3 linked regions of the Macaca mulatta genome follow. The protein of the gene in region 2 interacts with the protein of the main gene of each other region in a biochemical or structural test. Links are inferred from orthologs where the notes say so. Each region holds a gene or a part of one and is shown on either strand. Other genes may lie near its edges.

The links.
Region 1: the proteins of NHERF2 (region 2) and PRKCA form a complex in vitro, tested with the Homo sapiens proteins (2 studies listed by BioGRID and IntAct, with this or other methods). The link is inferred for Macaca mulatta from reciprocal best matches to the Homo sapiens genes NHERF2 and PRKCA.
Region 3: the proteins of NHERF2 (region 2) and SGK1 form a complex in vitro, tested with the Homo sapiens proteins (2 studies listed by BioGRID, with this or other methods). The link is inferred for Macaca mulatta from reciprocal best matches to the Homo sapiens genes NHERF2 and SGK1.

What each region holds. Positions count from the first base shown.
Region 1 is NC_133421.1:76,041,970-76,046,046, forward strand, and holds the start of PRKCA (protein kinase C alpha type), read left to right. Parts: upstream 1-1,270; 5' UTR 1,271-1,317; coding exon 1,318-1,490; intron 1,491-4,077. UniProt on the Homo sapiens protein: Calcium-activated, phospholipid- and diacylglycerol (DAG)-dependent serine/threonine-protein kinase that is involved in positive and negative regulation of cell proliferation, apoptosis, differentiation, migration and adhesion, tumorigenesis, cardiac hypertrophy, angiogenesis, platelet function and inflammation, by directly phosphorylating targets such as RAF1, BCL2, CSPG4, TNNT2/CTNT, or activating signaling cascade involving MAPK1/3 (ERK1/2) and RAP1GAP.
Region 2 is NC_133425.1:3,253,132-3,257,275, forward strand, and holds the start of NHERF2 (Na(+)/H(+) exchange regulatory cofactor NHE-RF2), read left to right. Parts: upstream 1-1,339; 5' UTR 1,340-1,440; coding exon 1,441-1,653; intron 1,654-4,144.
Region 3 is NC_133409.1:39,239,243-39,243,553, reverse strand, and holds the start of SGK1 (serine/threonine-protein kinase Sgk1), read left to right. Parts: upstream 1-1,504; 5' UTR 1,505-1,574; coding exon 1,575-2,103; intron 2,104-2,811; exon of another isoform or gene 2,812-2,865; coding exon of another isoform or gene 2,866-2,941; intron 2,942-3,086; coding exon 3,087-3,162; intron 3,163-3,598; coding exon 3,599-3,674; intron 3,675-4,126; coding exon 4,127-4,231; intron 4,232-4,311. UniProt on the Homo sapiens protein: Serine/threonine-protein kinase which is involved in the regulation of a wide variety of ion channels, membrane transporters, cellular enzymes, transcription factors, neuronal excitability, cell growth, proliferation, survival, migration and apoptosis.

The sequences.
Region 1 (4,077 bases), on a different chromosome or scaffold from region 2:
AAATGTACCGGCTGCACTCTGCACCTGACAGTATTGCAGTAATTAGCTTGGGATGCAAAATGATTTCTAAATTAAGGTCCTAGACTTGCAAAATCAAGAAAGCCTGATAATCAACATCGTCCCTCTGATGGCCAGTGAATAACGGGATAAATACCTAAGACAAGTCCTTTAACCATCCCACGTGGTGATAAATGCCCGACGTACAAATTAAAAGTCTCTACGACACGCAGGTGAAATACGGTATAGGTCAAGAAGAGAAGGTAGGGGAAAGGGTCAATGCTTAATTAGTTAAAAATCGCTGTCTTCCTCCTGTAGGAAGGTCTAGAGCCTGTGTCCTTTAGGGCACACGTGATGAAAGCGACATTTTGGCCAGGTGAAACCTCAAGCTGGTACAGGCTGCTAACACACGGGCGTCGTGCCCCGGAGACATCGGGGGTCCTGAAGATGGGGAAGGGACTCCCTGTTGCGTGTGCTCAGGGGTTAGCGGGTGAGCACCGGGCGGGAGGCTCCGGGGCAGGGGCTGCGCGTGGAGCCTACTCCGGAACGCGGGCTCCTCTCGGCCCGGCACGGACGGCGCAGGACTCCGAGCCGGTCGATAAGACAGAGAGAGAGCGGGAGTGGGAGGAGGAAGACGGGGAGAGGAGGAGGCCGGACGGCAGGAGCGGAAGAAGAGGAGGAGAACTGAGGCGGAGGAGGGCGAGAGGGTGGAGAGCCGGGAGCAGGAAGGGAGGAAAGAAAAAGGCGGCGGAGGAGCGCGCACCCGCCACTCCCGCCCTCCTCCTCCTCCGCATCCCCACTCGGGCTGGCCCTCCCCGGGCCGCCCGCCGCCGCCGCCTCTCCCTGTTCAGTCTTCCCAGCACCGCCAGGCGCCCTCTGCCTCCTCCGCACTCGGCGCGGCCCGCTCGGCGCCGCCGCCGCCCCCCCCCGCGCGCTCCTGGCCCGCGCGCCCCCGCCGTTCTCGTCCGCGCGGCCTCGCGCTCGGGGCATGCGCGGTGGGCGGCGCCGCTCCGGGCCGCCTCTGCCGCCGCGAGTAGGAAGCGCGAGCGCCGGGCGCCGGGCTGTCAGTGAGCCTGGGGCCAGCGGGCGAGCCAGCGGCTCAGGCTCCGGCTCCGGCTCCGGCTCCCGCTCCCGCTCTGCGCCGCACCGGCCTGACTCTCCCCGGTCCCCGCCGCGCCCCCTCGCCGCGACCTCGGCCACCGGCCCGCGCCCCCCGCCCGGGGTCGCCCCGAGCCCGCACCTCTCCGCCGCCGCCCCCGCCCACCCGGCCCTCCGCGGCCGCCGCTCCCCGGCGGAGGCAAGAGGTGGTTGGGGGGGACCATGGCTGACGTTTTCCCGGCCAACGACTCCACGGCGTCTCAGGACGTGGCCAACCGCTTCGCCCGCAAAGGGGCGCTGAGGCAGAAGAACGTGCACGAGGTGAAGGACCACAAATTCATCGCGCGCTTCTTCAAGCAGCCCACCTTCTGCAGCCACTGCACCGACTTCATCTGGTAGGTGCCGGGCCGGGCACCCCTGCCCCGCTCCTCCCCGCCCCTGGGTCCCGGTCCCCGGCGCGCCGGCAAGTCCGCCCCGGGGCTGGCTCACTCCGAGAACTTGGAACCGGCGGGAGTCCGAACTCTCGCCCGGAGTGACACGCGCTCCCGGCCCTGACACCGGCGGGCAGGACTCCCGGGACGTCGCCGCCCCGCCACACACACCCCCTGGCGCCGGAGGGAGGCTGGCCCCGTGCGGTGGCGGCGGGGATCTTTCCCCGGGCCGGGCCCGTCACCTCCCCGGGGGCGTCCACCCGCACGCACCCAGCGGAGCGGCCGCTTGCCGGGGTGGGAGCCCAGTGGACAGGGGAGGAGGAGAGGCCCGAAGGAGCGAAGGTTCCCGGAGAAACGCGTCCCGGAGTAACGGGGGAGCGGCGGCGATTGCGCTGCGCGGTCCAAGTTGCTGGCGAGCCAGGCTGGGCGCGTTCGGGGGGGTGTGTTTGTGCTTCCCATCGGGCTGGACCGCGCTGGAATCTTGGGCCCCTGCCTACTGTAGGCTGCATCTACTGGGCACGGACAGACTTTGACTTTTCTGAGTGAGCAGAGAGAGAGAGAACAAACTGTTGAAAGCTTGCAGTGGGGGAGGGAGAGTTCGAGCAGGCAAATGGCACAAGGGCAGAGGGACTCATTTAAAATAGACCCTGTCGGCCAGGCGCGGTGGCTCACGCCTGTGATCCCAGCACTTTGGGAGGCCGAGGCAGGCGGATCACCTGAAGTCAGGTGTTCGAGACCAGCCTGGCCAACATGGTGAAATCCCGTACTACTAAAAGTACAAAATTTGCGGGCGTGGTGGCAGACGCCTGTAATTCCAGCTACTCGGGAGGCTGAGACAGGAGACTCGCTTGAACCCGGGAGGCGGAGGCTGCAGTGAGCCGAGATCGGGCCACTGCACTCCAGCCTGGTCGAGACAGAGCGAGACTCCGTCTCAAAAAAAATTAAAATAGACCCTGTCAACACGAGATTAGACCTGTAACCCTGTTGATGAGGACAGAGGCCTTATTTAAGAAAAATAACATAAGGGCCAGAGGTGTCAGAGTTCAGGTAATCGCCAATGAATTCAGGCATTCTTAACTCGGAGGATCCTTGGGGGCTTATGGAGAATCGATACATAGAAGGGCTTCAGGGGTCTCTGAACCCTGCAAAACTGGGTGAAATTGTGTTTGTGAATCTTTTTGCTGGTGAGAGAATTACAGCTTTCATCTGATTCTCAAAAGTGTGTGACCCTTCTTCCCAGCTCCCCGTCACCACACAGAAGTTTAGAAAGCTGGAACTAAAGGAGCTCTAGGTCCTCTAGTTAGAGCAGCAGTAGTTTGGTTTTTCTCTTAGATTGCCGGATGCCCTGACTCTTCTACCTCTTCTTTGTCGTGTAGCAATTTCCTGACAAGACAGAGCTATGGCTAGGGCTTCTTAGCTCCCTCCCCTTCTAGGCCAGGGGGAGCTACCCAGGGTGGCAGTCATGGAGTGAATCCTGCCACCAGCCAGCTGTGTGGCACAGGTATCTTGGGCCACTAGAGTGAACATAATATGGATGGATCTGTCTGAATCCATCACACCTGGGGAAAAACATCCCAAAGGTCAGGTCCCATGATCGTGGTGCTGATAAGGTGTTTAATTTTTCCTTTCCTTTTTAGACATCTGCTCCCAAGTACACTTTTACGAAAAGCACAGCCACCTCTATGAGTGATTTCCACTGTCTAGTCAGCATATGAAGCGATTGTGCTCAAAGGAGTAGGTAATCGTAGATAAGGCTATTTAAAATACAATTTCGGAGCATCAGGGCAAAGAGAATATTGCATTTGGTTAAGAGGAGGTGGTCAACTGTGAGAGTCCATTAAAAGGGAACAGACTGCTGGTGACTTTTGCAGGAAGTGGGAGAGTTAGAAAGGGACTTGCAGCCGACCGAGGCTAGCTAGTGTCTTTCCACTGTCAGTTGCCCTTGAAGGATCAGCCCTTGGTGAGCTGAAGAGGCGCTCAGGTCACTAGCAGTGTTGTGAAGTGGAAGATAAAGGCCCCCCTGAGTATCCCTGCAGCTCTCTGCATTTAATTGTAAACCAACCAATTGGAAGTCCCAGGAAACCATCTACAGGGATTGTCTTTTTCAGTTTGCTTTCATTGTTGTTTCTACGGGGTCCTTGATTTGCAAGTTTATTTCAATATTAAATCACTGATATTTTTAAGTGAAATGTTTAGAGTTCATTATGGTTTTTGGTGAGGGGGGATGACTCTTAAGTTAATTTTAAAAGTATGTGAAATACTTTGTGCATTAAACATTCTATGTGAAGCAAGAGGTTATGACGCTCAGCCTTCTGAAGAAATGTTAATGCAGTTAATCCTAGTAGAACAATACCTGCAATTGAATGTCCATGTCAGGGTTCTCTGCTTACAGAGTAAATTCTCTAAAGTCATTTACAAGAACAAAATACCCTCCGTACGTGCTTTGACTGCTGTCGGTTCTCAGTCGAAATTAGATCATGGTAATCTCAAATGCAAACAATAGGAATGATATTTTCTAGCATCTGGTTCCTTAAGCCAAAATTAAATGTTA
Region 2 (4,144 bases):
GCTTGGGTGGGGGCAGGGGAGCCCAGGCCAAGGCCCCAGAGAGAGGATAGGGAGAGGAGGACTGCGCCAAGCCTGCTTCTACTGCTCACATGGGGAATTGCCTGGGCTGGCTGTGCCTGACCCCTGGGAACCAGGTATGTGCGGGGGGCCTGGCTGGGCTGGGGAGGAGGGCAGACTGGGGCTGTGCCTGGACTCAGCTGTCTTCCTATATTGGAGACAGAGGAAGAGCTGGGTGGTGAAGAGCATGGACTCCGAATCTCACATCCCTGGGCCCAAAGGGAGCTGAGGAAGCTTTGTGGGTCCCTCTCCAGGCCTGTTTGCAGGTCTGTGAAGTGGCCAAGCCCCTAGGGTTGTTCCAAGTAAAATGCGCTCAAGCATAAACGATTTCACTGTGGTGGCGACTGTCCTGTTGGGGAAGGAGGGACACTCGTGCTTCACGTAGAGGCTCAGGGACGTAGACGGCTGTGGGCAGGGGAGAGGAGGCCTGCTGCCTGCCTGCGGACACTGTGGAGCAACGCCTGTGCACACTGGCCACCACCCAGAGCTTAGAGTCCAAAGAAGTCAGTGGAGGCCCATGTCGAGACTCATCCTTTCGTTACCCTGCAGAGTCACAGTCCAGGCCTGGGGTGGGCTGGGACACAAGTAGGGGTGCCGGCCCGGCCAAGGGAAAGAATGGCGGGAATGGACGCGGTGCAGATAGCCCAAACACGGAGGGTAGGCCAGGGAGTCTCAAGCCACTGGCCCCCAGGATGCAGGGAGGGACAGCTGCGTGTCACGTTTAAACCTCTTTTTGCCTCCTGGGCCCTCCTGAGACCCCTGGGCCAGGGCAGTTCTGGCTGCAGGAGGGATCCAGATCAGGCATAGCGGAGAGGAGATAGGCACGGGGGTCTGGGAGGGCTTCCCCGGGAGGGTGGGGAGGGCTGTGGCCCTTGTTGTTACCCTTTGGCCCCTTTGGGGGGGTCCCTTGTCCTGGAGACCCTTTGTCCAACCCGTCGCCCACCTCAAGACCTGCCTGGATGCTGCACATACAGTAGGTATCCAATAAATGTTCCTGGGATAGAAGGCAAAGGCGCTGGCACCAAGGCGGCTGCCCAGAGCAGGAGCGAGACAGAGGGGTCCTGGTGGCTGGGGGGGTCCCCTAGTCCTGCCGCCTTCCCCCACCCCCAGTCGGGATGACCGGCCACGGAGGCCGGGATGGCTGGGACCGGAGGTGGGGGCGGCCGGGCGGCGGGGGCGGGGGCGGGGAAGGGGCGGGGGCGGGGGCGGGGAAGGGGCGGGCGCGGGGGCGGTGCCGCAGCCCGAGCTGGAGCCCGAGCCGGAGCCCGAGGCGACGGGAGCCGAACGGGAGCCGCCGAAGCCACCGCCGGGTGCCCAGCGCCGCCGCCGCCCCCGAACTGCCCCGCGCCCCTGCCCGCGGGCGGCTGGTGGGCAGCGGGCGCCATGGCCGCTCCGGAGCCGCTGCGGCCGCGCCTGTGCCGCCTGGTGCGCGGAGAGCAGGGCTACGGCTTCCACCTGCACGGCGAGAAGGGCCGCCGCGGGCAGTTCATCCGGCGCGTGGAACCCGGTTCCCCCGCCGAGGCCGCGGCGCTGCGCGCTGGGGACCGCCTGGTCGAGGTCAACGGCGTCAACGTGGAGGGCGAGACGCACCACCAGGTGGGGGCCCGCGCTCACCCCCGGCCCGCCGCCCCCTCCCTGAGCGCGTCCCTCTGGGGCGGGCGGGGGTCGCACGGGGGCCTGAGGGGGCTTCCGCGGAGAGGACGCGGACATTGCCGGGAGGCAGCAGCCCGGCGCCTTCCGAGTCCCCGCGCAGGAAGCTCAGCCCTGCACAGGGGTGGGGGGGCATCCTGGCAGGGAGGGGCCCGCACTGCGGCTCCTGGCCGTTGGCCTCGCTCTTTGGTCGCGTTTTGGCCTCAGTGTGCTATGAAGGAGGGTGTTGGGCAGCCTGGGGCCCCTCCAGAAAGGTGGAGACCTGGGTGCTTTTGCGTAGGTGTGTGTACACGTGTGCGTGTGAACACAGCTGGGCGTGTGTGTGCAGGTCCCTCTGGGGTCAGCCAAGTGTGCACGCGCCTGCCTGTGTGTACCCAGGAGGGGTTGCAGTAAGGGCATCAGTGTGTCTGCAGTTGTGTGTGTGCTGGAGTGTGTGTGAGTATACAGGTCTGCGTGTGTGTGTGTGTGTGTGTACAGGTCTGGACTCCTGGGCATGTGAGAGCTGAGCTCTGTGTGTGTGCACACCTGGTTAGTGTACTCATCACTGTGTGTCTGCAGGCTGGTAAGTCTGTGTCTGTACTCTAGTGTGTCCCAGCCGGTATGCCTGGGACCGGGTTGAGTTGGCCATTGGTGGCAACCACATTCCTTAGCTCCAAAGGCACTACCCCTCCTCAGAGGCTGCTTAGCCCGGCTGGGGTTACTTGCTATAAAGCCTCCTGCCTCCTGGCTAAGGAGAACAGAGCCTTTTCTCTGTGGGTTCTGACCCCTGAGGTATGTCTGTCTCCCACAGGCCAGGGACTTCCACCACACCCTGGTGGGGGTCCAGTGTCCACACACCCCTTGTCCTCCAGGTCCCCTGTCCCTCACACCACTGGCGAATCCATAACCTGTCTGCATGGCTGGTCCTGGAACCCCAAGATTAGCAGTTGGTTCAGCTGGGCCTGTAGTTGGTCTCCTGTTCACCTGGTGCCTTGTCTGTCCCTCCGTCGGCCAGCCCCATGCTTTCCACCCAGTGTCTGCTGTGTAAGGTTGTTTGCTGAAGAAGGTGGGGATCAGGGCCGGGCGCGGTGGCTCAAGCCTGTAATCCCAGCACTTTGGGAGGCCGAGACGGGCGGATCACGAGGTCAGGAGATCGAGACCATCCTGGCTAACACAATGAAACCCCGTCTCCACTAAAAATACAAAAAAATTAGCCGGGCGTGGTGGCGGCACCTGTAGTCCCAGCTACTCGGGAGGCTGAGGCAGGAGAATGGCGGGAACCTGGGAGGCGGAGCTTGCAGTGAGCCGAGATCGCGCCACTGCACTCCAACCTGGGCGACAGAGCGAGACTCCGCCTCAAAAAAAAAAAAAAAAAAAAAAGAAGGTGGGGATCAGGCCAGTGGCCTGGACCTGAGGGATTGAGGGTAGGGCTGGCAGGGCTGGGGCCTGGCTGCTGTTTGATAGTCGTTGCCGCCCTTGCCCAGGGAACACCTGCTTATCCAAGGCCCTGGGGTGCTGGTCTCTGAGGACTGGACACACAGACCATGGTGGACTCTCCCCACTGCCCCAGGAGGGCAAGAGGTGCAGTTACTGCCCCATTTGACAGTTGAGGAAACTGATGCCAGAGATTTAGGGTGACTTGTTTGGGACACATAGTCAAGAAGCAGCTGGGTACTCGGTTCCTCTTGTCTCACTCTGGGTCATGGGGAGAGAGGAGGGCCAGGGGACAGATGGGCCTGGCTCAGTCCCTCCTATCTATTCACCACCCCTGCTGAGCCCGGTGGCTGGTGGGGAGCCCTGTCCACCCTCCCCCAGGCCGCAGGTGGGAGTAGGGCTGCCCGTCTTCCCGCCCGCTTCCCAATGGACACTGCTTTCTCTCTGCGGGTGCACGCCGGCCCCCTGCATGGTCCAGACACTTCACAGGCACCTGTACCCACACGCCGACAGCCACCATGCCATAGCTGTTCACTGCCCCTCCCCCTTGCCGGCTGTACCTGAATGTTGCTTCCCTGGCTGTGTGTGCGTACCCGAGCCAGGAGTCCAGCCATTCCCCTCCTCACAGGTCCAGTGGGAATGGGCCCATGGTCATGGCCTGGAGGTGGACATAAGGCCTGGGGTCAGGGGTTTAGACTCCCATGGCAGAGAATGACAGGAATGGGCACAGACACACCCAAACTGGGGCCCAGGGAGACACCCCTCTCCTTCAAACCTGGACGCAGACACAGACTTTGAAACAGATGGATGCACGTGCACACACTAACAGGCAGACTGAAAAGCTGAAGCTCCACTGTGCGCCGTCTTTGTTACTTCCAGACGGGACTTACCCAGCTGCCCTACCCTGCAGCCCCTTCCCAGCCCTGCCTGGAGAAGACCCTGGGCTAAGGGCAAGGCTCTGGGAGGACCCTGAAGCCCTCACAGCCTGGACCTCAGTGTCCAGAGCCCGGGTGCCGAGGGAGGG
Region 3 (4,311 bases), on a different chromosome or scaffold from region 2:
TTTTGCAGATGCCTCAGAGGATTTGGGGTTACTTGACATGGGGAAGGCACATAAGGTGGGGTGTAGGAGAGGGTCTCTGGTTGTAGATTTCTTAATTTAATGTTTGAAAACAAACATGCAAAAGTCTGTGTGCAGGTTGATGTTTCTGGACAGCCTGAGCACAATTTGCTCTCTCAACAGGAGAAGGAACCAGGTGGGAGCAGGGCTAGGCTGAGCTAGGCTAGTTGAATGGTGGGACATGACGTATGGGTGGCATTGGCAATAACAAAGTCATATTTTATGACGATTCCGTGCAAAAGGAAGCAGACATAGGCCAGTTACTGTGATTTGAAATTGCCTAAACATTGCTTTAGGTTGGCATGTCAATTTCAGGTACTAGTAAGTGCTTTTTTTAATTTTATTTTATTTTTATTTTTTGAGACGAGTCTCGCTCTGTTGCCAGGCTGGAGTGCAGTAGCATGATCTCGGCTCACAGCAACCTCCGCCTCCCGGGTTCAAGCGATTCTCCTGCCTCAGCATCCCGAGTAGCTAGGACTATAGGCGCACACCACCACGCCTGGCTAATTTTTTCTATTTTTAGTAGACACGGGGTTTCTCCATGTTAGCCAGGATGGTCTCGATTTCTTGGCCTCGTCATCCACCTGCCTCGGCCTCCCAAAGTGCTGGGATTACAGGTGTGAGCCACTGCGCCCGTCCCCAGTAAGTGCTTTTTTTTAAGTGTGGGCATTAAGAAAACGTTCCCAGCCAGACTCCAGGAAAGAGAATGTGTTTCTCTTCTCTCGGTTTGGGACTGTTGCAACAAAGCAAACCAAGAAGCAGTTGAGACTAGAGATCACTTTAGGGCAAGTGGGGGTGGTTTTGCCTGCAAAACAAACCCCTGCCCAAGACCAAGGAAAAGGCGTTTCACATGCTATTCCTGGTTTGACAGCTGGTATTTCGGGACTGTGCCAGATCTAGTAGGCAACTTTAAAATGGCAGAGCCCTTGGCAGCAAGAGGTCATGGCAGGGCAGCCACCGCAGACAGCAACAGCAAGCGCCAGGTACCTGGCCTTGCGAATAGTGGTAACTTGTAACTGCCTGCTCTGGGCCCAATCGCTGCGCTCGCGGCTTCCCAGCCAGCACTGGCTCACGTCCCCGCGCCGGCGGTCAGCCTGCGGCTCCCAGACATCCCCCAGTCGCGGGGTTACTGGAAGGCACCGGCATCGCTGCTCTGCAGAGCCCGGGCCGCCGCCTCCAGCTTCCCTCCCTTCCCTGCCCTGCCTTCTGCAGCAGGGTCACCCGGCTAATCTTTCAGGATAAAGTCACAGTTTCTGTGGGACTCGAGAGAAAGAGCGAGGTGGCAAAACGAAGACAAGCCCTGGGGCAGCCTTGAGTTAAATCCAGGGAGGAGTAGGGATGATTTTAAGATCATGTATCGTGACCTGCAGGGTTTTCAGGTGGGAGAGCTGGAGAGAAGCAGGCCCCATAGAGGAATCGAGGATGCCCGGGTCACGCCAGGTCGGTCTCCGGGCAAAGCTACCCCCTCCTTTCGCTTGTTACCTCCTCACGTGTTCTTGGCATGGCAGAGATTAAAAATGCAAGGAAAAAAATTACATGCGGAACGGACAAAATGTTCTCAGAGATTACTTCAGAAAAAAAAAAGTGAAATGCAGATTGTACTTTTTCCTTTAGAGCAGAGACGACTTTTATTTCCGCCCCCTCCCCTCCACATTCCTGACCTCTCCCTCCCCCCCTTCCCTCTTTCTTTCCTTCCTTCCTCCTCTTCCAAGTTCTGGGATTTTTCAGCCTTGCTTGGTTTTGGCCAAAAGCACAAAAAAGGCGTTTTCGGAAGCGACCCGACCGTGCACAAGGGCCATTTGTTTGTTTTGGGACTCGGGGCAGGAAATCTTGCCCGGCCTGAGTCACGGCGGCTCCTTCAAGGAAACGTCAGTGCTCGCCGGTCGCTCTCGCCTGCCGTGCGCCCCGCCGCCCGCTGCCCGCTGCCCATGAGGGAGATGCAGGGCGCGCTGGCCAGGGCCCGGCTCGAGTCCCTGCTGCGGCCCCGCCACAAAAAGAGGGCCGAGGCGCAGAAAAGGAGCGAGTCCTTCCTGCTGAGCGGACTGGGTAAGCGCGGTCGCCGGCCCCTCTGGGGACTTGGCTCACTTCCCCAGAGCGGCTCGGCTCCTGCCCCGCTCGCGGGCTCGTCCGCAGGGGCAGGCTTTCGTCGGAGTTCTGGGAGCCGGGGTCCCGGCGGCGGGAACGGGAGGACCTGGCAGGCAAGGTCGCGCGCTTCGCCCTGCGCCCCAGAGATAAACCCCAGAGGGTGGCGCGCACCGCCGGCTTGGGCTGGGGAGGGAGGTGGGGGTCCGGCCGCAGGACGGCGCCAGGCCGGGGAAAGGGAATCTGCAGGGAGGGAGTGAGCGAAGCCACCGTGGCCGCCGCGCACCCGCCGGGAAGCGCCTCGGCGCTGCGACCCCGGCTTTCTCGGGCGGCGGAATAAATGAGAGGTGGAAAACTACCCTGGGCTCTCCGGCCCTCCCCGCGCCCTCCGCTGGCGCGTTCCCTCTCTCTTCTGCCTCGGGGGCCGATGGAGGCTGATAACGGCCCCGCGCCAGGCCCTCCCCGGACGGTCCTCGCGCCCCTGCCCGGGGCTCGCCCTCTCAATGGGGACAGAACCGCCCGCCACAGGCAGCACCGCTGCCAGCAAACCGCGAGGCGGTCCGGGCGGAGGGAGGGGCGAGGCGAAGGGCGGGGCCGCTTCTCATTGTCGCTCAGGCCCCGCCCCCGCGGCGGGGCCTCGCCTATAAGGCCGAGCGCGCGGCCCGGCGCAGCACACACCGAGCCGGTCTCCGAGCGCTAACGTCTTCCTGTCTCCCCGCGGTGGTGATGACGGTGAAAACCGAGGCAGCTAAGGGCACCCTCACTTACTCCAGGATGAGGGGCATGGTGGCAATTCTCATCGGTGAGTGCAGGAATCTGGCGGGACTTATGCTCCAGGAGACTCAAAGTGGAAATTTTTTGAAAGTCCGGCATCAGATTAGTGTATGTGGCTCCGGACGTTATGAAGCCGTCTAAACGTTTCTTTATTTCTCCTCCTTAATCCACAGCTTTCATGAAGCAAAGGAGGATGGGCCTGAACGACTTTATTCAGAAGATTGCCAATAACTCCTATGCATGCAAACAGTAAGTTTGACGGGATTTGAGGAAATAAGAATAACTAGTCTGGTTTGAATTTGCCAGCAGTAAACATTCTCATCACGGCGTTTATCGGGAAGGCGAAGACTTCTTCTGGGGTGGGAATCTCTTTTCTCCTTAAATTTTAATATATTAGACACATTTTAAACATTAAAGTTAATTTGCTGTTTTGGCTTGAACTGGAGATGTAAGATAAATGGTTCGTGTTGGCCGAATTCACTCCCTTTCTCCATGAGCAACAATCCTTATTTCTGTATTTAACGGGGTTTATTATTTTCTTTAACTGAGTAATATATTGGGGTATTTTCAGTTTAAACACCGAATTATCCGGGTAGAAGACGGTAGAGCCAGAAACCGACTTTTGATGTTGGTATGCCCCCTAGTGGCGAGCTGGATTCTGAATCGTGCCCTTTATTCCCTGCAGCCCTGAAGTTCAGTCCATCTTGAAAATCTCCCAACCTCAGGAGCCTGAGCTTATGAATGCCAACCCTTCTCCTCCAGTAAGTATTTTCTATGTGCAGTGCCTCTGTGGAGAACTGTAAGGGAGTCAGTTAGTATTCCTGCCTTAATGGTTTAAAATAGCATTTCTAGAATTTAGTATCAAAGCAGGAATGCTTCATTACTTTATGGCATAACAAGTGATAACAAATATTTAAGTATTCAGTCAGTATTATTTTATTTTTTCGTGGGCGTATTTTACCTCCAAAGTGGATTATTTTAAAAGGCATATTTCATTAAAAAGTTTTATCTGTCCGAAACAACATGATTGTGTGCAGTTTCCATACTCATTTGAAATGACTTGTGATGAAATGTAGTTTTGAATGTTTATAGACAGATGTATGGTCATTTGCCTCAGTCATTTGTAGATGTAACATCTTCTACATCGTTTATATTATAACTGTCTTCCTTTGAAGCAATGATATTAAGAGAAATCCTTTTCTTTTTTTCCTAGCCAAGTCCTTCTCAGCAAATCAACCTTGGCCCATCGTCCAATCCTCATGCTAAACCATCTGACTTTCACTTCTTGAAAGTGATTGGGAAGGGCAGTTTTGGAAAGGTAATTTCGAATCTGAAGATCTTTTGGTACACTTTCTTCATGTCCTCATTTTACATTCTCCCTGGATAAGGATAGAAAAA